Linked DNA regions of Arabidopsis thaliana. The protein of the gene in region 2 interacts with the protein of the main gene of each other region in a pairwise test. Each region holds a gene or a part of one and is shown on either strand. Other genes may lie near its edges.

What was found.
Region 1: the proteins of LRB1 (region 2) and NAC069 interact in a two-hybrid assay, tested with the Arabidopsis thaliana proteins (one large-scale study listed by BioGRID).

The regions. Positions count from the first base shown.
Region 1 is NC_003075.7:673,027-678,730, forward strand, and holds NAC069 (NAC domain containing protein 69), read right to left. Parts: upstream 3,420-5,704; 5' UTR 3,200-3,419; coding exon 3,046-3,199; exon of another isoform or gene 2,966-3,045; coding exon 2,694-2,965; intron 2,188-2,693; coding exon 2,047-2,187; intron 1,973-2,046; coding exon 1,601-1,972; intron 1,521-1,600; coding exon 1,335-1,520; intron 1,248-1,334; coding exon 999-1,247; 3' UTR 836-998; downstream 1-835. Other genes in the region: MEE49 (Ribosomal RNA processing Brix domain protein), read right to left, coding at 4,240-4,278, 4,387-4,476, 4,552-4,621, 4,710-4,808, 4,890-4,969, 5,050-5,132, 5,212-5,281, 5,370-5,453 and 1 more. UniProt on the Arabidopsis thaliana protein: Transcription activator activated by proteolytic cleavage through regulated intramembrane proteolysis (RIP). Involved in salt stress response during seed germination and seedling growth.
Region 2 is NC_003071.7:18,993,077-18,999,492, reverse strand, and holds LRB1 (BTB/POZ/Kelch-associated protein), read right to left. Parts: upstream 3,849-6,416; 5' UTR 3,383-3,848; coding exon 3,127-3,382; intron 3,002-3,126; coding exon 2,867-3,001; intron 2,730-2,866; coding exon 2,611-2,729; intron 2,511-2,610; coding exon 2,447-2,510; intron 2,220-2,446; coding exon 1,940-2,219; intron 1,862-1,939; coding exon 1,030-1,861; 3' UTR 821-1,029; downstream 1-820. Other genes in the region: AT2G46250 (myosin heavy chain-like protein), read right to left, coding at 6,292-6,416. UniProt on the Arabidopsis thaliana protein: May act as a substrate-specific adapter of an E3 ubiquitin-protein ligase complex (CUL3-RBX1-BTB) which mediates the ubiquitination and subsequent proteasomal degradation of target proteins.

The sequences.
Region 1 (5,704 bases), on a different chromosome or scaffold from region 2:
TTTATCTTTTGTGTTTGTCACACATCAGCCGTAATTTTTCACACATTTTAAGATGAATGAAACTCCAAATTTACAACGATCGGATATTTAGATATCAATTATGTATTGGAAGAAATGTAATATTATGTATTTTATAACAAATTTACTACTGTTAATAAATAAGATAGTTGAAAAAAAAACAAAAAACAAAAAACTGTTAGCGATAAGATTTTAATTGAATGCAAAATGTTTTCCAATAGGTTGACAAATTCTTTAAACAAAAACAAAAAAGGTTGACAAATGAGAGGAACAAAATTTATTTTTATTGTGAATGAGAATGAAGACGTGGCAAATTATTGACGGTTCATTGTCGGAGCTTCGAACGAAAGTATGAACCTTTCTCTTTTCCTTGTTTTTTTTGTGTATTTTGAGTCGAAGGATCTTTCGGAAATTATAGCCGCCACCATCGACGACGACGACATGGCGTTATTACTTTCTCTACTTCAATATAGTACTACTACTAATTTTGTAAAATATATGTCTATGGATTTGGCTTGCAAGATAAGGGATTAAAGTTTACAAAAAACAAGAAAAAGGTTCATAGAATCATATTACATAGTTGTAAGTAATATGATTGATTGATTGATTGATCATCGAAGTAATATTTGATTGATTGATCATCGAAGTATCAATCACATTAGACCAGTCCCTTGTCCGGTATGTAATCATTCTCTTAATTATCAACAAACCAAATCTTTGAGAAACCTTTCAAACCATTCACTGGTCTCTGTCGAATGTTTTCTTTATCAGCAGTCTAATGCTCCACCACGGCACTGAACTATGGACCCGCTCTAAATGTTATAAAATTTTCAAACCCTAAATTTTATTTAACTTTAGGTACAAGACATACCTCTTGGTCATACATACACACACATATATACATCAAAATTTCGGAAGAAAATAGAAATAAATAAAAGCAAAGTAAAAACGAGTGCTTTGATCAATCTGCTAGCTTTTGTCTATCTCTCGCGATCAAACTTCATCGCCGGGTTCAAGTTTTGTAACACCGATATGATGTTGCTAATGAGAGCCAGCAAGAGAATGAAGCCTATGATCATTCTCATGAGATAGATATACCGTGGATTGTTGCGGTTTCTCTCCATTGCTTCCTCTGTAATAAACCAGCTCTTCTTCTCTGTCTTCACCATAGATGACTCCTTGTCTATGGATGTATCACTATCAACCGCTCTTGATGTATCTTGTTTCACCTGTGAAGGAAAGTTACATAATCATTATCTTTATATATCCAACATATGTTGAAATCATATAGAATCAACATAAGAGCAACGCAAAACCTCTTGTTTTGGTCGTATGATGCTTCGTGTGAGTTGAGATTGCCGGGTGCTACTACTGATGGAAGGTTCTCCATAGGTTTGTAGATCATTGCAAGACGATAGAATCTCATCTCCACCAGTCTGGAGAAATTGTCTATTCGAACTACCAACACTATCATCACCTGGACTTGATGTTCCTTGGTAACTCTGACATAATATAATCAAAATGTGAGAATGGAGATTACAGCACAGAAGTAACGATAAAGAAAACGGGTGATTTGCTTTACCGTTGCAGATATCGATTCAGCATCACTATTACTATCACTGCTATAATCAACAATAATCCCTGACAAAGCCTTCTTTGGCCTGTGATCGTTGCGGTTCTCGGTCATAGATAAGGTTGGTCTGGATATGAAATCTTCATTGGCAAACAAATATTCAACCTGCTCTCGGTTAACATGCCTCAATCCACCGAGAAACTCATCATCATTCGGGGTTAAGTGAGGAGCTTGTGGATGCACAGTAGGATTGTTATTGTCACTGAATAACATGTCTGGATCCAGTACATCCCACAAAGAGAAATCTTCTTGTTCATTCTTTGGAGTCCCCAAATCATCCACAGACATACCAAAGAAATTTTCTTGACCTGGCTTCTCAAACTGAAAATGTAAAAGAGAGTTTTGAGTAAACGAATCAAGTACATGAGATTATCAAATAAAGAAACTGGAGTCACCTCAAGCGCTGTGGGACTCGTAGCTCTGACAGTATTCGAATCAGAGACCAAAGATTGACTCGGCTCACTCGAGTTGTTACCACCAGATGGGACGTCTCCATCTTCACCCTTATACATCACTTGGCAGATAACATAGTTCCTCTGAACAAATTCCAAAAGTACACACACACATAAGTTCTTTGCCAACAAAACAAAAAATCAAACACACATAACTCAAACAATCACAAGCTTTGGCAGAAGTAAGAACACTAGGTTACAACTTCTATACATAGCGCTTAAAACTCTGTGACAACACAGAACGTACTAATGATAGCAACCAACACAGGGGAGATTACAGTAATATATTCAACACAGGGAAGCAAATACACTAGCCTTCTAGGCCACAACTTCTATATATAACACTTCAAACTCTGATACACAGAACCTAAACTTGATGTACTAAGCATCATAGGGAAAAGATAAGTCAAACCCAAATCTATTCTTACAAGAACATGACTTTAACCTCAAATTGGGATAAAGATAGCAACCAACACAGGGACAGATGAATCAAACCCAAATCCAATTCAAGAAGATCAACTAACAGAAACATAACGCTAAGTCAAACTAACACAGAAGCTCAAATTCAAGAAACTCTGAGTTTATTATACCTGATCTTGAGGCAAACAAGTGATGTGATACTCATGCATAACCCAAGGAGTCCAAACACCTTTAGGAACTCTACCTTCATAATACACAAGCGTCTTCTTTATCCCAATCTCGCCGCGATTACCTCTCTTATCTTTGATTTTCCTATCAACACCAGTAGCTTTCCAATACCCTGAACTTGTAGTCCTCTTCGTTACCTTCTTCTTCGCAGAAGTATACTCCTTTGGACAGAAGAAGTACCACACAGGATCATCCGATTTTATCTTCGATAAAGCTACAACAACCAAACAAATCCAGAATTAGAAATGACCGATGATGAGACAACGATGATGATTTTGAAGTGAGGAAACTTACAAGGCAAGTAAATTGGGTCGTAACTACAGATGTTGATCTCGCTAATGGCTTCGTCGACGAGCCAAGTCTTACCCAAAATTTTGTTCTTTAGATAATGGTTTATCAATTCCTCTCCCGTTGGATAAAATCTATACCCAACCAGATCTTTCACCATTTTTTTTACACAGAAACAGATCAAATAACAAAACTTTTTGAATCGACACTGAAAATTTTTTAGTGTTTGAGTTTTAAGGGCTTTTTCTCACTTCTCTGTTTCTTTCTTTTTTCCTCTATCTATTATTGTTTTTTCTGAAAGACGAACAGTACTAATACAGTTGGGGTGAAGAAGAACCATAAAAAAAGAAAGAAAGATATTTGTGGCGGAATGCAGTAAAAGTATATTAATGTTTTTCCCCTAAACGTTGACAAATGAGAGGGACAAAAAAATATTTTAATTGTGTATGAAGTAACACGTGGCAGTAAGAAAAATTGTTTGAACTTCGAACCGAAGTTTCAGTTTTTTTTTTTCCTTTCCGAAGGATCTTTCTGGAATATTATAGCCGACATAATTGACAACATAGTAACATACATATACGTAATTACGTTCTATACTACACCTAAATAATCGTAATTAATTTTTAGATTTGTTTTTGTCAATCCTATTACATTATCATTAGAGATGTTCAGGATTTGAATGCTTACGGCGGTAAAAACGGTCTATAATTGATCCGCGACGATTTTCTTTTATTTTTCTTAATCTATAATCTTACATACTCTAATTTATAAATGGTAAATCAAAAACGGTCTAATTCGCAAACGGATTTATCCGTCTCAACCACCGTAACCATTCACATCCTCAAATCTAATCCTATTATTATGGTGATGAACTGATGATCGTAAAACTATTAATTATGCAACATAAAGGTCCACTTAACTACTAAACAAAATCCAATATTACTGCTGTAGATTCAAATGCTCGATGTCGATATATACCAAACCAAACAATCATAAGTTTAACCAACTATATATAGCTTAGTAAAAAACGAGGGCCTATATTGTTGAAACAAGTACTCTTACGATTGTTTCGATGGCTCATGGCTATATTGAAAAAAGAAATGAGAAGTTTTAAAGACATACAATTTTGGACGGAGGTAGGGAAAATTCGAAAATGCAAAATAAACACAAAACTTGGTGAAACTCGGAAGACAGCAGAATTTATAAGAAGAACCTTCTCCTGCTCGTGTCCATTTCAGGCTGTAATGAAATACAAAAAAAAAACACATCAGAAAATAAAATTAAAAATCATCAAAAACTCTAAAGAACAGCAATGAAGCTGCTCGTGTCCATTTCTGGTGATTTTACCTTATGAACCCATTCAAATTCTCCACCTTTGGTGTCAAAAGTTCCATGCTGTAGAGTAACTAGCTTAAGCGTGAATCGAGGACCGCATTCCTAAAAATCCAAAGTTTAATGATACAAACATTGATAATGTTGATTACTTTTTGATTCAACATGGTCAAAACTGACCTGAAGACGAGGTTTTATTGTCTCTTCTTTTCCTTTATCACTCTTGCTTTCCTTTGTCTCAAATATGTAACTGGATAGTGTTGAAATTTGTTCAATAAAAAGTTTTATTGGAGAATGGAGCAAAAGCAACTCGAAGAAGAAAAGGTGAAGTTATGTACCGGTGATGTCTGAAAAATATAAAGTCACGCTGGTTGTGGAATGTTACAACTCTCCTACCACGGAAATTAGGATCCGGAGGGAAGAGTGATTGAAAAAATCTGAAAAAAGGAAAAATCTAACATCAGCAAGAAATTCAAAGAGACCATAAAACCAAGTCAACAACACTATGAAAACTATACCTCCCAACACGATTCCCTAAACGCGTTGTAAAGTTATTCAAAACCAGTTCTGGTTGATGGCTTGTAGGATTTCCGTGATTCTGCAGTTACATTTAACATCCAATTCAGTGATCACTAATCTACACTCGATGTAGAGAAGAGTAATGGTTAGCTTACATACCTTAATATCCTTCCTTAGAACAAGATTTGACAATTTGAAATGAGCAGTAGGACCATTTGGCAAACCGATGATAAGAAGCGCATCTACATATGAAATAGCAAAAGCTTGAAACAAAGCATATACAGTAGAGAGCACAAAACTTGAAACTCAGTGAAAACTAACCAGGTTCTCTACGATTTGTATGAACAACAATAAGAGATGTAAAATCTTTCTTCGTTGCGTATTCTACAATCTGCAGAACCATATCTAACAAGGTTATATAGTTGCAAAAAGACTAACTTTATAGAGAAACAAGGAAGCTATGAAACTTATAACAACACCTTCTTCAAATCATAGGTTCCTCTCTTTTGATAATGAGAGTTTGGTATCACCGAAAGCAACTCAGATATTAAAGCAGGTCCTCTCTGCAATCCAACAACATTACTTGAATCAGAAAACCACAAACAAATCTGTAGAATCTCTTATGAAACAATGGTACCAAAAAAAAAAGACTTACAGTGGAATTGAAACGACATGTTGTGAGCAAGACCTTAGGTGCAATCTCACGTCTCAGAACTGGATTAAACTCATCAGCATCAATATCCGCAAACAACTACAAACTCAATTACACTAAATTAGCAACACGACAATGAATTGAATTCAAAAATTGAGATGA
Region 2 (6,416 bases):
GACAACTGCTTCGAATCCAACGGCTGGGATAAACAAATGATCCAACGGTATAAACTAAGCCACGCCAGTAGATAGTTATTGGCATTTAGAGGCTAAAGGGCCAACGAGGCTTTTTTTTTTTGCGTTGGCGTAAAAGAGCTTCTATCCACGAAGTGGTCCCTACATTACAAAATGCGACTCACATGGATGTATCTACGTGTCGGTTATCCATTGGGTGATGTAGTAAATATTGTCTGGGCTCTCTATTTTTGTTTATTTTTATTTTGTGTACTGTAGAAAGAAATCAGAGAGCATAATACTAGTACTAGTATTATTCAACTTAGGTTTTCGGTGACGTAAGCAAAGGTACAGACCACATCAGCTTTGAATATAGACCGTTGATCTCGGTTTCTCGATTAGAAAAAAATCGACGGTTAAGCTGCAATAAAAACGTGTGTTTTATATAACTTCGAATCATCTGACGTGGCCATCAATATTTTGTAGTGGAAAAAAAAAGTGGGGTCGATAAGTCAGAAAAGGAGATTAATCATCCAACGGCTCAAACGTGTCCCGACAAAATGACGTGTCCGTCTGGTAAGCGGATAGTCTTACTTACGCATTTATGTGGGCCCCATGTGACGAGGACTCAATTCCTCTATCCTCATTTCCTAAATTATCCTTGTCACTTCATTCTATTTCCTCGATGTACCATTGCTATAGCCGCATTGTTTGAACTTTGAATATAAAAGCCTAATGTTCACACTATAGGCAATTTAGCTTCATCATTACGCATCGTAGTAGGCCTTGAGCCCATATTTTAAGACTAACCTCAAAAGCTAGGCCCAAATTCTATCTTGGACTATTTATAAAGACCCATATAGAAAAGTAAAAAAATCCAATCAAAGAATTTACAGAATGAGGTACTCTTTAAGCCATACTTTTGCTCCTTAGGCAATTATTGTACAAAGGACACTCGTGGTTAGAGCTGCTACATAACGAGATTATACAACTTAAATGTGACGACATAGAGAGAGAGAGAGAAGAAAACAGTCAGTGCAGGTCTGAGGAACGTTTAATGGTGAGCTCGGCTCTGAGATGGAGAATGCCATTGATGAAATGTTGACTGTCCTCGGCTATGAACGAAGTCCATGGAATCCCGAAAAGGTTTCTGTAACCAACCGCTTTCCCCCCTGTGAATGTGTAGTTTCCTTTGTATTTGCTTACGTATTCTTCCTTTGTACTTTTATCTCTTGCCGCAAATTCGTAGTCCACACCAAAACTCACAGCCCCTTTCTCTTGCATTCCGAGGAATAGCCCAAAGCAGTGGAACGAGCTTTGCTGGTCCATGTTGCAGTGTGCTGAGAGGAAGAAACCTTGACCTCCTAAGTGGAAAGCCTGAGAATAGACTCTTCCTGAAGGGAATAGTCCTGCGCATTCCTCTCGCTTCAAGTCCAGGTACACTACACATTGCGGGCGAGGAAGCTCAAACTCCACCACTTTTACGGGTCTGTATTTGTAAGCCCTCTCTATGAAACGGCGGTTCATGGAGTCCGATCCTTCAGCTGCGAGGATGCGTTGCCTGTGTGGGGCTTCTGCTTTGAAGAAGAGCGCTTCTAATACTTGCTTTGATGCTACTTCATGCTCAAAATCACTGCACGTTAGTACCTTTTTCAGCTTTCGACACGTCATGTATGGGAAGCGGATGTAGAGTGCAAGGCGTGAACCCAGAATCTCTCTACGATCTTCCAATGAACTATACTGTCCCCTTGCCCATTTCAAGACAAAATCATAAACAGCATCCTCAGAAGCAATTTGGAGATCATCGCTCGATAGTATCGCCTCTATTCCAGCCAATGGTAAGGCCATAACCTCATCATGAAACCTGTACAAGATGGTAACACATGAACAAGAATTATACAACACTAGAGTAAATGCATTTCAAACCACTGGAGAGTCTTACTTGGTAATATCCTTGTAGCGCGAGGCAAGGAACTGCTTTGCTGCATCGGTTAGAGGTTGCACTGCTTCAGCCATTAAAACACTAGAGGGCAGCTCAAGATAGAGCAAAGCAGAATCAGGGGTCATGGGCATATTTCGCAGTAGTCTACTACAATACCTCATACAGGAAGCAACCTCAAACTTGTCAGCAGCCATAAGAACATCTAATAAAGCGGGTGCTGTTGTGACACTTAGAGAGTTGCTATACATAAAGTTTAAAAGCTCCATCAAAGCACCTTCCTCTACAATACACATAAAAGTAGAGCATGAGAAATCAACAATGTGGACTCCCTTAAAGCTAATATCGTATATCATATGTAAATCAAAGTCAGCAACTGAGTTAATACAAGAGGCATAAAGAATCCAAAACAAGAAGAAGCCAACAGAGAGCTAGTAGAGAATTGAAGCCAATATAAAGAGATTGGAGAATAGCAGAAATGAATTAAAAGCTTGACTTAAATTGTCGTACCTTGTGCACTAATTCTAAGGGTTACATGTCTTTGTTCTGATTCCCTCATTCCATTAGAAAACAGCTACAACAGGGTAAGGAAAACAAGAAGCAAAAGATAGCATTACATGCGAGATGAACAAGAGCAAACAATAAGAACATAGAAGAAGAAAAAAGGTTAATACCTTGTAGAAAAAGGGGCTTTTTGCGGCCAAGATAGGAGAACTAATATGCAGTTCTTTAACTCTAACAACAGTAGAACAATCAATACCCCAGTTTGGCTCACTAGATGCATCATCATCACCTACAAAAACCATTAATAAACAAAGCCATCACGTTTCAGACAAATGACTTCAACAAAAAACGCTCTTCTGAAAATTGTTAAGTATCACAAATTCAAACCCAGTCACTCGAGAGACAATGTGAAATTTAGAACGGTACCTGATAAAGCCTCTTCAACCATTGCCTCTCCTTCATCGTCAAGATTATCACCACCAGGAGCATCATCCATATCAGGTTGGTTGTTATCGGTTAAAATCTGTTCTTCAGCACATGCCACAATGTCTGAAATCGCAACTGGAAATGCAAAACGTATAAGTTTCTTAAACATTTAAACCCAAAAGCCCTAAACCAACCATAAGAACAATTCATAAAAACAACAACAAAATCTGAGATTCCAACCGATAGGGAATCAAACGTACCACCATTGTCCTTCTTGTTGTCCTCTCTTCTCCTCTTGCGATGACGAGCCCAATCGGCAATACTCGTACATCCTTCAGCATCAGACCTAGAATCCGAAGGCCCACCCAAGATCTCGATCCGGAGCAAACGATCGGAGAAGTTACTGTCATTGAAAGCGAAACCAAAATCACCTTCGGAGGAAGAACCATGGCGAGAGAAATTGGAATCCATCTCCGTCTTAGGGTCAAATAGATCGGTGTTATTGGAACCTCTCATCCTCCTTTTCGAAAACCCTCTTCTCCGTGTCTTCTCTCCGGCGAGAACCGAGCAGAAGAATCAGGATAACAATAAGGGTCAAATTCGAAAAGGTTTTTTTGAGGAACGAAAATGACAAAGAAACACTAAAAAAGTCTTTCTCTGTTTTTTTTTTCTGAAACAAAGAGCGGGTCGACGTTGAACGGTTATGGTAACAGGGCGGTGACGGATAAAGGCTAATTAAAGACAAAGAGGTTCGTTAATGCCAGCCTAACTAATTGTTTAACCGGTTTGGTCTTTTGATTGTAATAAGCACTTTGGTTCTTTTTCCGGTATTTTGCATAAATCGCGTAGGTACGATTTTGATTTTGACTTATCGGATTCGATTTTTAGTATTTGGGGGAAATTTAGCATTTACTTAATTAGAGGAGGAAAAAGGTAATAGGCAAAATTAGGAGTGTATTTAGTTGGAAAGCGTCAAATTTGGTAAGAAGACAACTCGTTCAACAAACGGCAATGCCTTTTATGTCGTTAAATATTCGTTGGAATCAAAGTCTAATTTGGAGTTTTCTTTTAATAAAATACAATTACTTCAACGTTTTACAGACTTTGTTAATTAGATTTTGACCGAGTGAAACTTGGCTATGCAATGATAACTTGACAAAAAAAAAAGGACTAATTTATAAATTGAAATCCGGCCGGTATACATTTCTTCGTAGGCCAACACATGACAAACCAGTTGACTATGTTGTGTACTACTAGGGATCATTTGAGATGATACGACTTAACGTATCGACTACAAGCAACCCAGCTGCTATTATTTCTTGAAACCATCGATGGTATATTTTCTCAAACCAAAACAATTATAGTGTACTTGTTTCGATCTGATCGAAGTTAAACCTAACTTTATTATTGTTCTTGTTTTAACTAAAAACGTATCCAAGACCAGTTTTGATGAATATATTTTTTTCTTTTTTTAGGTGAAATGTCCCCTTCGTATTTACGACAAACACACGACTAATGTTAAAATTAAAACAAGGAACAAGAAATATTTATACATTTGTCAGTTTTAATCTGTATTTCCATTAATATCATATTTTCAAATTGGCACACGAACGTCTTCTCGTAAATAAACAACATTAATATTGCTTCCATGCAAGCATCAACCACAAACACCTGCAAATAAACATGACAACCTGAAAAAAAAAATGCACTAGAGAAAAAGAAAACAAGTTAGATCGAAACCAAGTTTTGAAGAACAGAGACTAATTAAGAGAAGAAGAAAAGGAGCTCCCTTCAATCCAAACGAAGAGAAGAGAATGATATGTAGAGAAAGAGGGAGAATCTAAGAGGTCGTGCAATCCCCTTAAAGTGTGCTTTCTTCAAGCTTTTAACACCGCGCACTCTCTATGAGGAAGACATGAACTCTTAGATTCTGCATTTTAGTTCCTCAAATCTTGTCCTCTTCGTTTTGGAGGAAGGGAGCTCCTTCTGTTACACTTGAAGAACGAATGTCCCCCAAAAAGAGTTTGATATCTTTTTACAATAAAACGAACCAAAAATAAACTATGGAAAGAGGGAGAATCTAATATGTATGGTGATGGATTGTTGAGGCTTATGATGATGATGTGAAAGAACATGTTGTGTTAAGTCGTTTTATAGATGAAAGAGCATCAACCCTAGTCTACTCCTTGGGACGATTATGGAACAAGTGTAAATAAAAAATTGAAAAATATAGAAGAATAAATGGCAGTAAATCTTATTATTATTATTTATTTATTTATTTTGGCAGTAAATCTTATTGTCATTAATTAGAGATTAAACATAATCTTGTTGACTAGATTCTCTTTTAGAGAGAGATACGGTTAGGGTGCAACACTATGGTTTATGGAGTATTTGCAATTCCATTGCATTAAGACTAAAAAGAGAATTAGTTAGATTTCAAATGTCCAAACAATAACTAAACCGTACTTTTTGTATATTGAAGAGAATCTAGGCATTCGTAAGACCATCATTATTGATAGTTTTTTAGGTTAGTTTTTAGATAAAGTAGATCTTAAATTTAATGTTATAATTCAATTAATGGTTAAGAATAGCTCTTATATAAGAGCCAAATCTAATGTTTTTTAAGTTAATTCTTAGATAAATTAGGTCTTAAATATAATATTTTAATTTAATTAATCTTAATTTTTAGATAACTTAAGTATTAAATAGAATTGTTTGTCATATTTGTTTAAAATTTTATGTCATGTATGTTTTAAATTTTATGAGTTGTAATAACTATTAAGTTTTTTAAAATTATAATGTTTCTATTTTTTTTTTCAAATTTTCTTTTTAAGAACTCCAAGTTAAGATTCCACCATTGCATATTGCCTAAATTTCAATCTCTTAACCAAGTTTTTAACTTCAGAATTTTCAAAATCAATTATAAAAATATTCATAAAAACTATATTAAAATTATGCTAAGAAACTACCATTAATGATGCTCTAAAACAGATAGAGTTTGGTCAATCGCTATTACCGACACATCTTTGACTTGGCTTTTTTTTTTTTTTTAACGTTTATTAATCACCAATCAGTCTTCTTAAAACTTGTGGAATTTTTGATGACCAAAGATTTGAACTAATCGGTTAAATTGTCTCTTCTTTAAGTTACATCTTTTTGTTCTTAATTACAACTGCCAAAAATAGTTGACCGGAGTTGTGTTCTTTTTTTTTGTCGAACCGGAGTTGTGTTCAATGTCAATATATGTGAACTGTTGACAAAATTAGCTTTTTCCTTTTTTCATGTGAAATTGGTTTCTGTCACTGGGACAATTAAAATATTTAGTTTTTTTAACGACTAACGAGCATTAATATTAACCACAACCAAATAATTAATCCAACATACATGAGAAGACACGAGTTAATTATTTGCTCGAACCGGAATTATCACTCTGGTTTCAAAGAAGAACGTAAACGTCGACTTTCTACACGAGCTTCCATCAGCTTATCCTTGAGAGTACGATGATTATCTTCCCTGATCATCACATTCACATTTCTCGGATGATTCTTCG